Oryzias latipes: one gene and its partner. The protein of the gene in region 1 purifies or fractionates together with the protein of each later gene. This does not show direct contact. Links are inferred from orthologs where the notes say so. Each region holds a gene or a part of one and is shown on either strand. Other genes may lie near its edges.

Region 1 (4,711 bases):
GCCTGGGGATCCGGAACTTCCCCCAGCTCCTCAGGTGTCCGGCCGCGGCCCCCGGGGGGGCGTGGGCGCCATCGATGGGTGTTCTTCTCAGCCACACGTTGGCTTTCGGGAGAGTGGCGGCGTCTAAAACCACGCTGGCCCTGCTGACCTTAGAGTTTGGCGTCACATCTGAGAAGGCGGGGCCTCTTTTGGCCACGCCCTCGTCGATGAAGAACTCGTCTGAGTCAGAGTTCCTGATGTCCACCAGCCTGATGGAGACGGTTTTCTCCAGGTGTTTTGACCCCAGCTTGTTCTTCATCGGACAAGCAAAGCCGTCCGCGGCCTCGCTTCTCCTCTTCCTCCCCCGCTCCTCCTGTTCAGGGGGCGGGGCCTCCCTCCTCAGAGCCTTCCTGCTTTCCACCTTGTGCAGCCGGACTACAGCTTCCTGGATGACGTCTGGCCTCCCGAGCTTGGAGCTCCACCCCTCCCTGCTGACTTCAGCGCTTTGGACTGGAGCTCCGCCTCCTGCCTGAGCGGGAACCACTTCTCCCAGCTGACAGCTGCTGCTGTCCTTCATCTCCACGGGTTTGGCCTGATTTTCTCTCCTTTGGGTGTGAGAGGAGTCGGACTGGTTCTTCCGGTCGCTGCTCGTCTTTCTCCTCTGCTTCGGTGACTTGGTTTGCAGCTCAGGGAGACTCGGGGACAAGCTGGACTGAGAGGACAACCAGCCCAGAGAGAAGACCCTCTCCAGGTCTTTGGGCGAAGGATTGCCTGAAACGAAACCGTTGGGGATCAGCATGAGGCCGTCTTGACCGTTACCGACACGTTGACCACTAGAGGGCGACGCGTCTGGAGGCAGGACTCACCGTTCAGCAGCTCCTGGTCCAGCAGGACCACCTGCTGCTGCAGGATCTGCTCCTGGACTTTCCACAGGGAGCGCTTGATCTTCTCCCTCCGGGTCACCATGTAGGTCAGGTTCCGGACCTGGAAGCAACAGCAGCTTCTATAGAGATCACCATGACTTCACACAGCAGAACCCGGAGCTTTACGACGTCTTCCTGTTCGTTTGTCACAGAGACTGAGCCGCTCCACCGGCGGCCCGCAGCTGCAGTGAAGCATCAGAACAGGGAGATGCTGGGGGAGCAGAGTCCTCCCATCACCCCCCCCTCTACAGGCTGCAAACACGCCGTGTCTCACTGGGTTTTTATTCAGTCGACTTCAGAGCTTTGTCTGGCCCGTCCCCTGACCGTCTTCTCCCCCTCGCCCCCCAGAAACCTACCCTCTCCAGGTCCTGCCTCAGGTGGGTGAAGAGCTGGAGGCGGCGCAGCAGGACCTCCTGCTCCCGTCGCGCCAGGCTCTCCTCTTCATCCTTCTTGGGCGTGAGGAGCGGCTGGTTGAAGTTGGCTTTGCGTTTCAGCTTCCAGTACTGGTAGAGGAAGTCCAGAACCTCTGGGGGGAGCTTCAGGCTGCCGGCCACCTCCTCCACCTCCACAAACCGGTAGAAGTCTTCCTCCATCTCCTGCAGCTTCAGCTTGCGGAGGCTGACTCTTTTCTCCTGCTGGCTGAGGCCTTCCTGGTCGTAGGACGGCAGAGGGTAGGAAGACGCGTCTCCCCCCCGTGTCACCCCACCCTTCCTGCCTTTTTTATGGCCGGCGGCTTCCTCCTCCTCCTCCTCGTCCTCCGACTCCTGGTCTCGCGGCTCCGCCCCTTGGTGTCCGGAGTGTTTGGGGCAGAAGGACTTGAACTTCACCTCGTCGTCCTCAGTGAGGATGGTGTTCATTTCCAGGTTGGCCTGAAGGCCACACGTCACGTGGAAGGCAGTCCGGCAGTTTTTGGCTGAGCACTACGAAGAAACACACCGACAGTCAGATGTCGGGCTGAAATCAGAGCTGAAGTGGGTTTTTAAACGGTTCACAAACCAAACCCTGTTTTTAATCATCACCAAACATCACATCTATACCACATTTCCTAGTTTTTCCAAATGAAAACAGGATGATCCGTTACAGCAATTATCTGATAACGGGTGATCCCGTCTGCTACGTCCTGCTGAACTGGGCTGTGGAGGTGAGCGGCAGTGGCGGCGGGGGCGGTACCTGGATGCAGGCCCCGGCCTTCTCTTTGCACAGGCAGCAGATCAGAGCCCATCTGTTGCTGGGAATGTGGGACACGTTGGTGATGGGCTCCATCTTCTCTGGGTTCCCGATGCTCACCTGCACGGCAGGACGGACGCGTCACGCACCAGCAGGTAAACACACCATGACGGGGGGGCGGGGCTGACCCTCACCTCTGGGATCCACAAGGCACAGCTGACGTGGACCCACTTGGTTCCACTCCGGGTCGGCTTCATGGCCCCCCCCTTCTTGGGACACAGCTGGCATTTCGGGAGGATGCCGAGCGCACAGATCCGGCACAGCCAACTGCCTTGGGGGACCTTCTGGATGCCGTAGCAGGCCTGAGGAGAAGGGGAGGGTTTCATGTTAGTGGGTCAAAGGTCAGAGTTTTTCACAATGTTAGGAAAGAGAAAGACTAAATATTCAGAGTGTGGAGGCTCCGCCCTCCATCCGCTGACCTGGTGAACGCAGATGTTGCACTTGTCACAGAACACCATCTCATTGTTGTCCTCGCCGTCCGGCGACTGGCAGACGTCGCACACCACGTCCTCGTCGTACTCGATGCCCAGCCCCTCCTCCGTCTCCATGGCGTGCGTCATGTTATCGTAGCAGCGGCGCTCAAACTCCTCCATCGCCCGCTCCATGGTGTTCTCGTCAAGCAGAGGCAGGCCTGGAACGGCAGCAGAACGGCGTCAGCAAATGATCCGGAGATCTGACTGGAGACCAGGGGTCGCTGTGGACCCCAGCGCTGAACATCTGAAACCGGGTCATTTGTGTCCGTTTGCATGTTTAGTGAACCTCTCTGGTCTCTGTAAGCATCGAAACCTACAGCACTTGCAGCAAAGACCACAAGTCCTGGGTTGCTTTACATGTTTGAGCTCCAGAACTGAAGAGCTGAATTTTCCCGACCAGAAGCAGCGTTCATGAAGGTAGCAAAGGTCGTGACCCTGAAACTTCACCGCATTTTGACGTGTTTTGGTGACGGACAGACGGGTAAAGCTGCTGTCGCTTCAGTGATCCACAGCTGAGCTGTTTTTCTGGTTCTCCCTCTCCAACTAGATTTTTATTGATTGTAAAACTGGTCCCAGTGGTTTTTTAATCAGGATTGTGCCGTTTATCGCAAAATGCAAAAAGCAGACAGATTTTCTGCAGACGTTAGAAATTCCTGCCTGGGTTGTGGGCTGACTGTTGGCATGGAAGTAGCCCTATGTTGATATCCCATCATGCCTTTGTTTACACTCTCTCCTGTTAGCTTCCAGCACCTCACAACCCCAAGCTAATGTTAGCATAGCACAAAAACAGCGAGCAATTTCAGAGCTATCCGGCAGTACAGTTTAGATCCAGATTCCAGCTCAGACCAGGAAAACACAGACGTTCATGGATCTGTTGGCGTGCAAATGGAGGATTTGGAATTAGGGCGGAGCAGGGAGACTTTGGCCCCGCCCATGGCAGCTGCTGTGTCAACAAACCTCAGCTTTTTCAAACGTCTGCTCCTGATCCATCACCATTTGAATACAGAAATACTCAAAAATGGAGTTTTAATCTTGAAATGTCTTTATAAATGTCCTCCATCATGAGAAAAGAACATGTTAAAAACACAATTTTCAATGCCGCGGGTCTTAAAGTCTCCTGTTCACAAGTTGGAATCAACGCATGCCAAACTCACCCATCTCTGCAAACTCCTCGTTGACGATCTGCAGCCAGGCCACGTCCTCCTCGTTCAGGTCGTAGCGGCACACCCCGTCTGCCAGCGTGCGGATGTCCACGTATCCCAGCGCCTCCGTGCCAGACGTGCGGATCAGCTTCTTTGGCCTGATGAACATGAGCTCCTTCTCTTTTTCCACCAACACTCTGCAGAACACGGCACATGTTTCCAACCCACGACTCAGGCCCAGACCGCGTCATCCACGAAGGGGTTTTTAAAAGTTGACGCGGGTTTTCTGAAAACACGGGGACTCGTGGAGACAACGGGGTGCGTGGTACCTGGTGACGGGCTGTGGGATGGACTGCGGACTGACAGGAACCTGGACTCCCTTCTCCCACTCCTGCCTCCACGGGTCGGCGAGCACAAAGTAGTCCTCTGGGTTGAGCGGATGGGAGTCGTGTAATTTCATGGCGGTGATCAGGTCCGTCCTAAAAACCTGCCGCACAAGCGAACGCGCTCAGTTACAGCCCGTCTGCCCCCACTAGCTAAAACACAACACCCGTTCTCACTGTAAACTTTGGAAAAATTGGACAAATATCATAAAAAATGACCTAACAACTATTAGTTGTTCCATATAAATGTTTAACTGAAGGCCAGAAATGTAAAAAACAGGATTTAAAAAATTGCAACAGCAGCAAAAAGCCACCAATAGGAAGGCAGTGATAGATTGTGTGACTTGCAGGAACAAAGTCCACACGCTGTTCAGAAGATAAGAGAAGTTTCCATCCACACATGCTAAGCTCTGGAACTTAGATAGTCAGCCTTTCCTTACACCGTCTGCTCAAAGACACTTGATGTGCTCCAGTTTTTACTTATTAACAAATTCAAAGCAGAAAAAGCTGCTTTGGAGTGAAAAACCACATCCAGATGACCCTCTTTCTTGGCATGGAACCATCCTGGATGAAGGAGAGTCTTC
Region 2 (6,379 bases), on another chromosome or scaffold:
CCCCCCATAGTCCGCCTCTGCAGCAGCTGTCCTCTCAGCTGCTTCTGGACCGGCAGCTGCAGTTTGGTGTCATCTTCAGAGCATCCAACCAACAGGGTGGAGCATCAGAATGTGTCCATGCCGCAAGCTAAAGCAGCTCACTGACAGGTGGACCACAGATTTATGTACAGCTTTTGTCCAACTTGTAGAAAAATACTGATCTGAACACAGAAGTAACCCTTTGTGCATGAGGTTTCAGACTCACAGACATTCGTTTTTAGTATTCTGCTGAATATTTGATCAGAAATGATAATTTCACTGACAAAACTTTTCCATATCAAAAAACGCCCCTATCACCGTCCGCGGGTGGTTTCTCACCCAAACTCGGGTCCTCTACCAGAGGCCTGGGACGTCGAGGGTCCTGCGCAGTATCTTAGCTGTTTCTAGCAATGCGCTTTTCTGGACTGAGAGGTCTGAGGTCTTTCCAGGTATCTGTTGTAGCCACTCCTCCAGCTTGGGGGTTACTGCCCTGAGTGCTCCAATTACCACAGGCACCACTGTTACCTTCACTTTCCATGTTTTCTCCAGTTCTTCTCTGAGTCCCTGGTATTTCTCCAGTTTCTCAAGTTCCTTCTTCCTGATGTTCCCATCGCTTGGCACCGCCACATCCACCACAACGGCTTTCCTCTGTTCTTTATCCACCACTACAATGTCTGGTTGGTTGGCCATTACCATCCTATTAGTCTGGATCTGGAAGTCCCACAGGATCTTTGCCCTCTCATTTTCTACCACCTTCGGAGGTGTTTCCCCATTTTGACCTTGGGGTTTCTAGTCCATATTCTGCACACATGTTCCTGTATATTATTCCAGCCACTTGATTGTGGCGCTCCATGTATGCTTTACCTGCCAGCATCTTACACCCTGCAGTTATGTGCTGGATTGTTTCAGGCGCCTCTCTGCACAGCCTACACCTTGGGTCTTGTCTGGTGTGGTAGATCTGAGCCTCTATGCTCTGGTGCTCAGGGCTTGTTCCTGAGCTGCCAGGATGAGTGCTTCGGTGCTGTCCTGTAGGCCAGCCCTTTCAAGCCATTGGTAGGACTTCTTGACATCCGCCACTTCAGTTATGCTCCGTAGGTACATCCCATGCAGTCCTCCCATGAGGATCTGTCCTCCACTGCTTCCTTTGCTCTCCATTGCCTGAGACATTCACTGAGCACACTGTCAGTTGGGGCCTTGAGCTTGATGTATTCATGCATGTTGGATGTTTCATCCTGGATAGTGGCTTCTACGCTCACTAGTCCTCGGCCTCCTTCCTTGCGGCTAGCATACAGTCTCAGGGTGCTGGATTTGGGATGGAACCCTCCATGCATGGTGAGGAGCTTTCGTGTGTTAGCATCCATGGTCTGTATCTCTTCCTTTGGCCATCTTATTATTCCTGCAGGGTATCTGATTACTGGCAGTGCGTAGCTGTTTGTTGCCCGAGTCTTATTTTTGCCATTGAGCTGGCTTCTCAGGACTTGCCTTACTTGTATGAGGTATTTAGCTGTTGCAGCTTTCCTTGTTGCCTGCTCCAGGTTGCCATTTGCCTGCGGAATTCCAAGGTACTTGTAACTTTCCTCAATGTCTTCCATTGTTCCTTCTGGGAGTGGGACCCCTTCTGTGTGGACTACTTTGCCTCTCTTTGTCACCATCCGGCTACATTTCTCGAGCCCGAATGACATCCCAATGTCAGTACTGTAGATCCTGGTGGTGTGGATCAGGGAGTCAATGTCACGCTCGCTCTTAGCATATAGCTTGATGTCATCCATGTAGAGGAGGTGACTGATGTTGGCCCCATTTCTGAGTCGGTATCCATAGCCAGTCTTGTTGATTATTTGGCTGAGGGGGTTCAGACCTATGCAGAACAGCTGTGGGGACAGAGCATCACCATGGTATATCCAAAATTTGATGGACACTTGTGCAAGTGGCTTCCCATTGGCTTCATTTCCTATGAAGAGTCCTTTTGATGTTGTACAGCTCCAAGCATTCAGTGATCCACGTGTGTGGCATTGAGTCATAGGCCTTCTTGTAATCAATCCAGGCTGTGCACAGGTTGGTGTGTCGTGACCTGCAGTCTTGAGTGACTGTTCTGTCAACCAGGAGTTGGTGTTTGGCTCCTCTGAAGACTCTACCAATGCCCTTCTGTGTGTTTGCTCATGTATTGATCCATGTGCCTATTTATCTTGGTTACAATGATGCCAGACATGAGCTTCCATGTTGTGGATAGACAGGTTATTGGGCAATAGTTGGTTGGGACTGCACCCTTTGAGGGATCCGTCTAGATCAGGATCGTTTGCCCTTCCGTTAGCCATTCGGGTGAGTCCCATGAGCAGCTGGTTCATTTGTGCTGGCAGACGCTCGTGGAGTGCGGTGAGCTTCTTTAGTCAGTAGGCATGTAACATGTCAGGGCCCGGTGCTGTGCAGTTTTTCATACCTGAGACTCTTTCTTGTATGTCTGCCACTGTGATGGTTACTGGATTCTGTTCAGGGAGGTTGCTATTTTCTTTTGTCAGAGAGACCAGCCACTGGGCATTACTGTTATGTACTGTCTCTTTCTTCCATTTACCTTTCCAGAACTCAGTTCAAGTATAAAACAAGGTAGGAAGAGGGTCCTTTCACAACGCTTGGGCGCCACCTTGCGGTCTTATCTTTGTCGGCACCAACGCGTCTCCAGTTTTCCTGAGCGCGCGCGCCTCCTCCCGTCGGTTCCGGAACGAGCCATCATGTCGATGCACGCGAAGGCGACCCCGCCGCAAATCCCGGACACGCGTCGGGAGCTGGCGGAGCTGGTGAAGAGGAAACAGGAGCTCGCCGTGAGTCCGCAGTTCTGTTTCAGCGGGTTAAATGTTTTTTTTCGGAACCCGGGTTTAGCGCGCCAAGCTGAGATACCCGAGCATTAGCTTATGCTAGCTGAGCTAGCAGGCCGCAAAACCTTTATTGTGAATTGTCCTAACTAAGCATCGACCAAGAACAAAAACACTTTATCCTCACATCGAAAAAAACATTTAAAGTTTGTGTTTCTGCGTTTCATGTTTGAATGTTTTATTTTTTCACGTTTTTTGACGAACAAAATCCAAATTAGTTTACAGACCTGAAGCACGAACAGTGTGTTCTCGCGATACCTTACGTTTTGAAACTCTTTATTGTTCAACACCGTTGTTTACAGAGTGGAACCTACTAAGATTTAGTAGTGAAAAACCAAGTTACAATCGCGTTACATTTCTGTCATAGGTTATTTTTCTTATCTTTTTGCGACTTTTACTGTTTTCATCTCTAGTTGTGCTTCTAGTAATACTCTAAGTAATGGAAAATGACCTTTATTGTAAAGTACTAGTGCGTCACTTAAAATTACTTTTTTTGTCTAACATAAAACGTTTAACAACAAATTTGCTTAATTACCCAGTACTGTAGTAGTAGTTTTTTTGGTTTACATACTCGTTTGGTTTACATACTCGTTTTTTAACATGTTGTTATTGTTTGGACGACTACTCTTTAACTTTTGCCTCCTTAACATTATTTAAAATAATGTTTTGCTTGTACTTGAAAGATGTTTCCCGTCAATTTATTGACCTTTATTGACAATAACAAGCGTCAAATTCAATTAAAAAGTCTCAAAATGGAATTTTTCTTGAATTTAGTTGGAATGTATAAATGCATGTATCCATCATCTACCACTTCAAAGATAGAAAATGTTTTTCTAGTTGTATACTGACTCTGCAGTCTTGTGGATTTCTATAAACATTGAATTTAGTTCATAAATTGGAAAATTAGATGATTGGGTTGATCAACTAGGAAGAGAAAGACCAATTCTGGAGCTGAAAAATTCAAAGTTTACCTCAAGTGGCTAAATAATGAAACAATCTTTACCAGAACCTCAAGAGGATTTTCAAGTTTTTGATGGTAAAAATAAATGAATGAAATAAATTTTAAAAAAGCTATCTTTGTGAAAAGATAAGCACTGATCTTAGCTTGACCAATCAGAACGTCTGCAGTAAAACCGTTTTAACGACACAGGAGACGCTGGTGAACCTGGAGCGGCAGATTTACGCCTTTGAGGGCAGCTACCTGGAGGACACTCAGATGTACGGGAACATCATCCGAGGGTGGGACCGATACCTGACCAACCAGAAGTGAGTGTGAATGCGGCAGACTCCGGTGAGGTTAGATCTTCTGTGCGTTTGCTGATCGGGTCCTTTTCTTTTTCTGCGATCAATCAGGAACTCCAATAGTAAGACTGACCGGAGGAATCGCAAGTTCAAGGAAGCGGAGCGTTTGTTCAGCAAGTCCTCTGTCACGTCCGTCGCAGTAAGTACTTCCTGCGCGTGATGCGTTCAGCCATCTCATGTGAAGTTGCTCCTCAGTGGTCTCTTGTGATTGGCAGGCAGTGTGTGCGCTCGGCGGGATCCCGGATCACATGAACGAGAAGCGTGAGTCAAATTTGCCTACTTTCCTGGTGCCTGGGCCTCCTCAGAATGCCGGTTCTGACTTGTTGCCTCCCGGGGGATTCCCCAGGTGAGGCCGGCAGCGGCACAGAGAGCGATGCGTCTCCAGACCTTCAGAACCAGGAGAACGAGCCGAGTCAGGAGGACACGGAGGACGTGGACTCCACGCTGCACGACCTGAAGCCTCAGAAAGCCGCCTCCTCTTCCTCAGGCAGCCATCACGGGAGCTACAAGAAGAGGAAGAACAAGAACAGACACAGGTGAGGTGTGGGCGGGGTTAAAGCTGAGCCGCAGCAGATTCACCAGAACTTTTCTGTTTAAATTTGGAGATTTACAGCTTTAACAAGGCAAACTAATATATTTGTGTTATTAAGATCAAGAGAACAGATTACACTTAATAAAAATTACAATAATTGAACATTTTTACAAAATATGGTGATTTTTTTTTTTTTTTTTTTTTTTTCCGTCTTCTTCTGACTAAAAAAGTTGAAGTAGAAAACGTTCATTTCCTAAAAAAAATGCTCGTGTGATTGCTGAAGCTGGCTACAGATGATGATGATGATGATTAGGGCTGAAACGATTCCTCGAGTTACTCGACTTACTCGATTACAAAATTTCCTCGAGGAAAAAACTCTGCCTCGAAGCCTCGTTACATTCCTATGACGCGCACTATACGCAGGGATTTGATTGTGTCACACGGACCTTTTGAATTTAGTTGGCGCGATGGCGGAGAATAGATCTATAAATAAACGGCAGAAATTGTCTTAAGTGTGGGATCATTACACACTTAATAAAGAAGAGAACAAGGTGCAGTGTCTGTACTGCAAAATAGAGCTGGCATTCCACAACAGCACATCTTCCATGATTCAGCATCTGAACAGAAGACATCTGCGCGACCGCTGGAACCCCGACGCCTTACCCGCGCGTGCCGCCGGCAGCGAGCGAGGGGCGGCGGGCCGTGGAGGGGGCGCCGATAGGCAGGGGCTGGGACAGGCGGTAGCTCGCCTTTCGGCGGACCGCAAGGCTTCTTAACATTTGCATCAGAGCGGATCTTTAAAATCAAATGCTTGTTCATTTTACAACCACATCATTTTTGTTATGCATTATTTGTTTTGGTTGTTCAAAAACGCACACAAATCGTTTTATCCGATTACTCGATTAATCGATCGATTAAGTGCTATATTAATCGATTACAAAAAGAATCGATAGCTGCAGCCCTAATGATGATCATGATGAAGCACCGGAGGATCTTTTGAGGCTGAAACGTTTGATTTAAAAAAAAAAAGATAACTTGAACGAATGGACTGGGTTGGATCTTCATCTTCATCCTGTGGTTGTGTTCAGTAGAAGCAGGAAGATCATAAAATGTTTGATATCAGATGAAGATCTTCTGAATCTGGACTCTTAATTGATCACCTTCAGACTGTTTCTTTGCAGGAAGCCTCTCCTCTTCTTGATGGTTCTCAGCTTTTGTTTTTCATTTCTTCATTTTCCTTGACTTGACTTTTCTTTTTCTCTGTTCTTTTTATCTCCAGATTTGTGTGTGTTTTTTTGAAGTTCTGCTCATTAAAAAAAAAAAAAAAAAACAGATCAGCTGGGACTCCTCCACTGATCCCAAATGTCCCGTCGAGCTTGTTGCTGATTGTAAACGAGTTCTTTTCAGAGAGGTCTCACTCTGGCGGCTCCAGGAACGTTGAAGGTGGACTCTGAAGTTCTGTCAGAACCGCAGAGTTCCCTCCGGTAGTTCTGTAGAGTCTGAACTAACTGCTGCTGCTCTCTTCCTTCCCATAACGCCGCTCCCTCAGCCCTTCTGCCATGTTTGATTATGACTTCGAGTAAGTCCAGATTTTACTTCCTGCTCCTTTGTCCCCCGCCCCCTCCACCTGACCTCCACCCCCCCAGCCCCCTGCTTGTGTGAC

What was found. The genes of interacting proteins can lie anywhere in the genome.
Region 2: the proteins of jade1 (region 1) and meaf6 purify together in Homo sapiens (affinity purification with mass spectrometry; 5 studies listed by BioGRID and IntAct, counting the BioPlex papers as one, with this or other methods). This does not show direct contact. The link is inferred for Oryzias latipes from reciprocal best matches to the Homo sapiens genes JADE1 and MEAF6.

What each region holds. Positions count from the first base shown.
Region 1 is NC_019880.2:21,646,443-21,651,153, reverse strand, and holds part of jade1 (protein Jade-1), read right to left. Parts: intron 4,232-4,711; coding exon 4,074-4,231; intron 3,942-4,073; coding exon 3,757-3,941; intron 2,761-3,756; coding exon 2,549-2,760; intron 2,432-2,548; coding exon 2,264-2,431; intron 2,190-2,263; coding exon 2,073-2,189; intron 1,823-2,072; coding exon 1,259-1,822; intron 964-1,258; coding exon 846-963; intron 751-845; coding exon 1-750.
Region 2 is NC_019869.2:19,899,042-19,905,420, forward strand, and holds the start of meaf6 (chromatin modification-related protein MEAF6), read left to right. Parts: upstream 1-2,597; 5' UTR 2,598-2,741; coding exon 2,742-2,831; intron 2,832-4,032; coding exon 4,033-4,148; intron 4,149-4,235; coding exon 4,236-4,323; intron 4,324-4,399; coding exon 4,400-4,445; intron 4,446-4,530; coding exon 4,531-4,720; intron 4,721-6,265; coding exon 6,266-6,295; intron 6,296-6,379.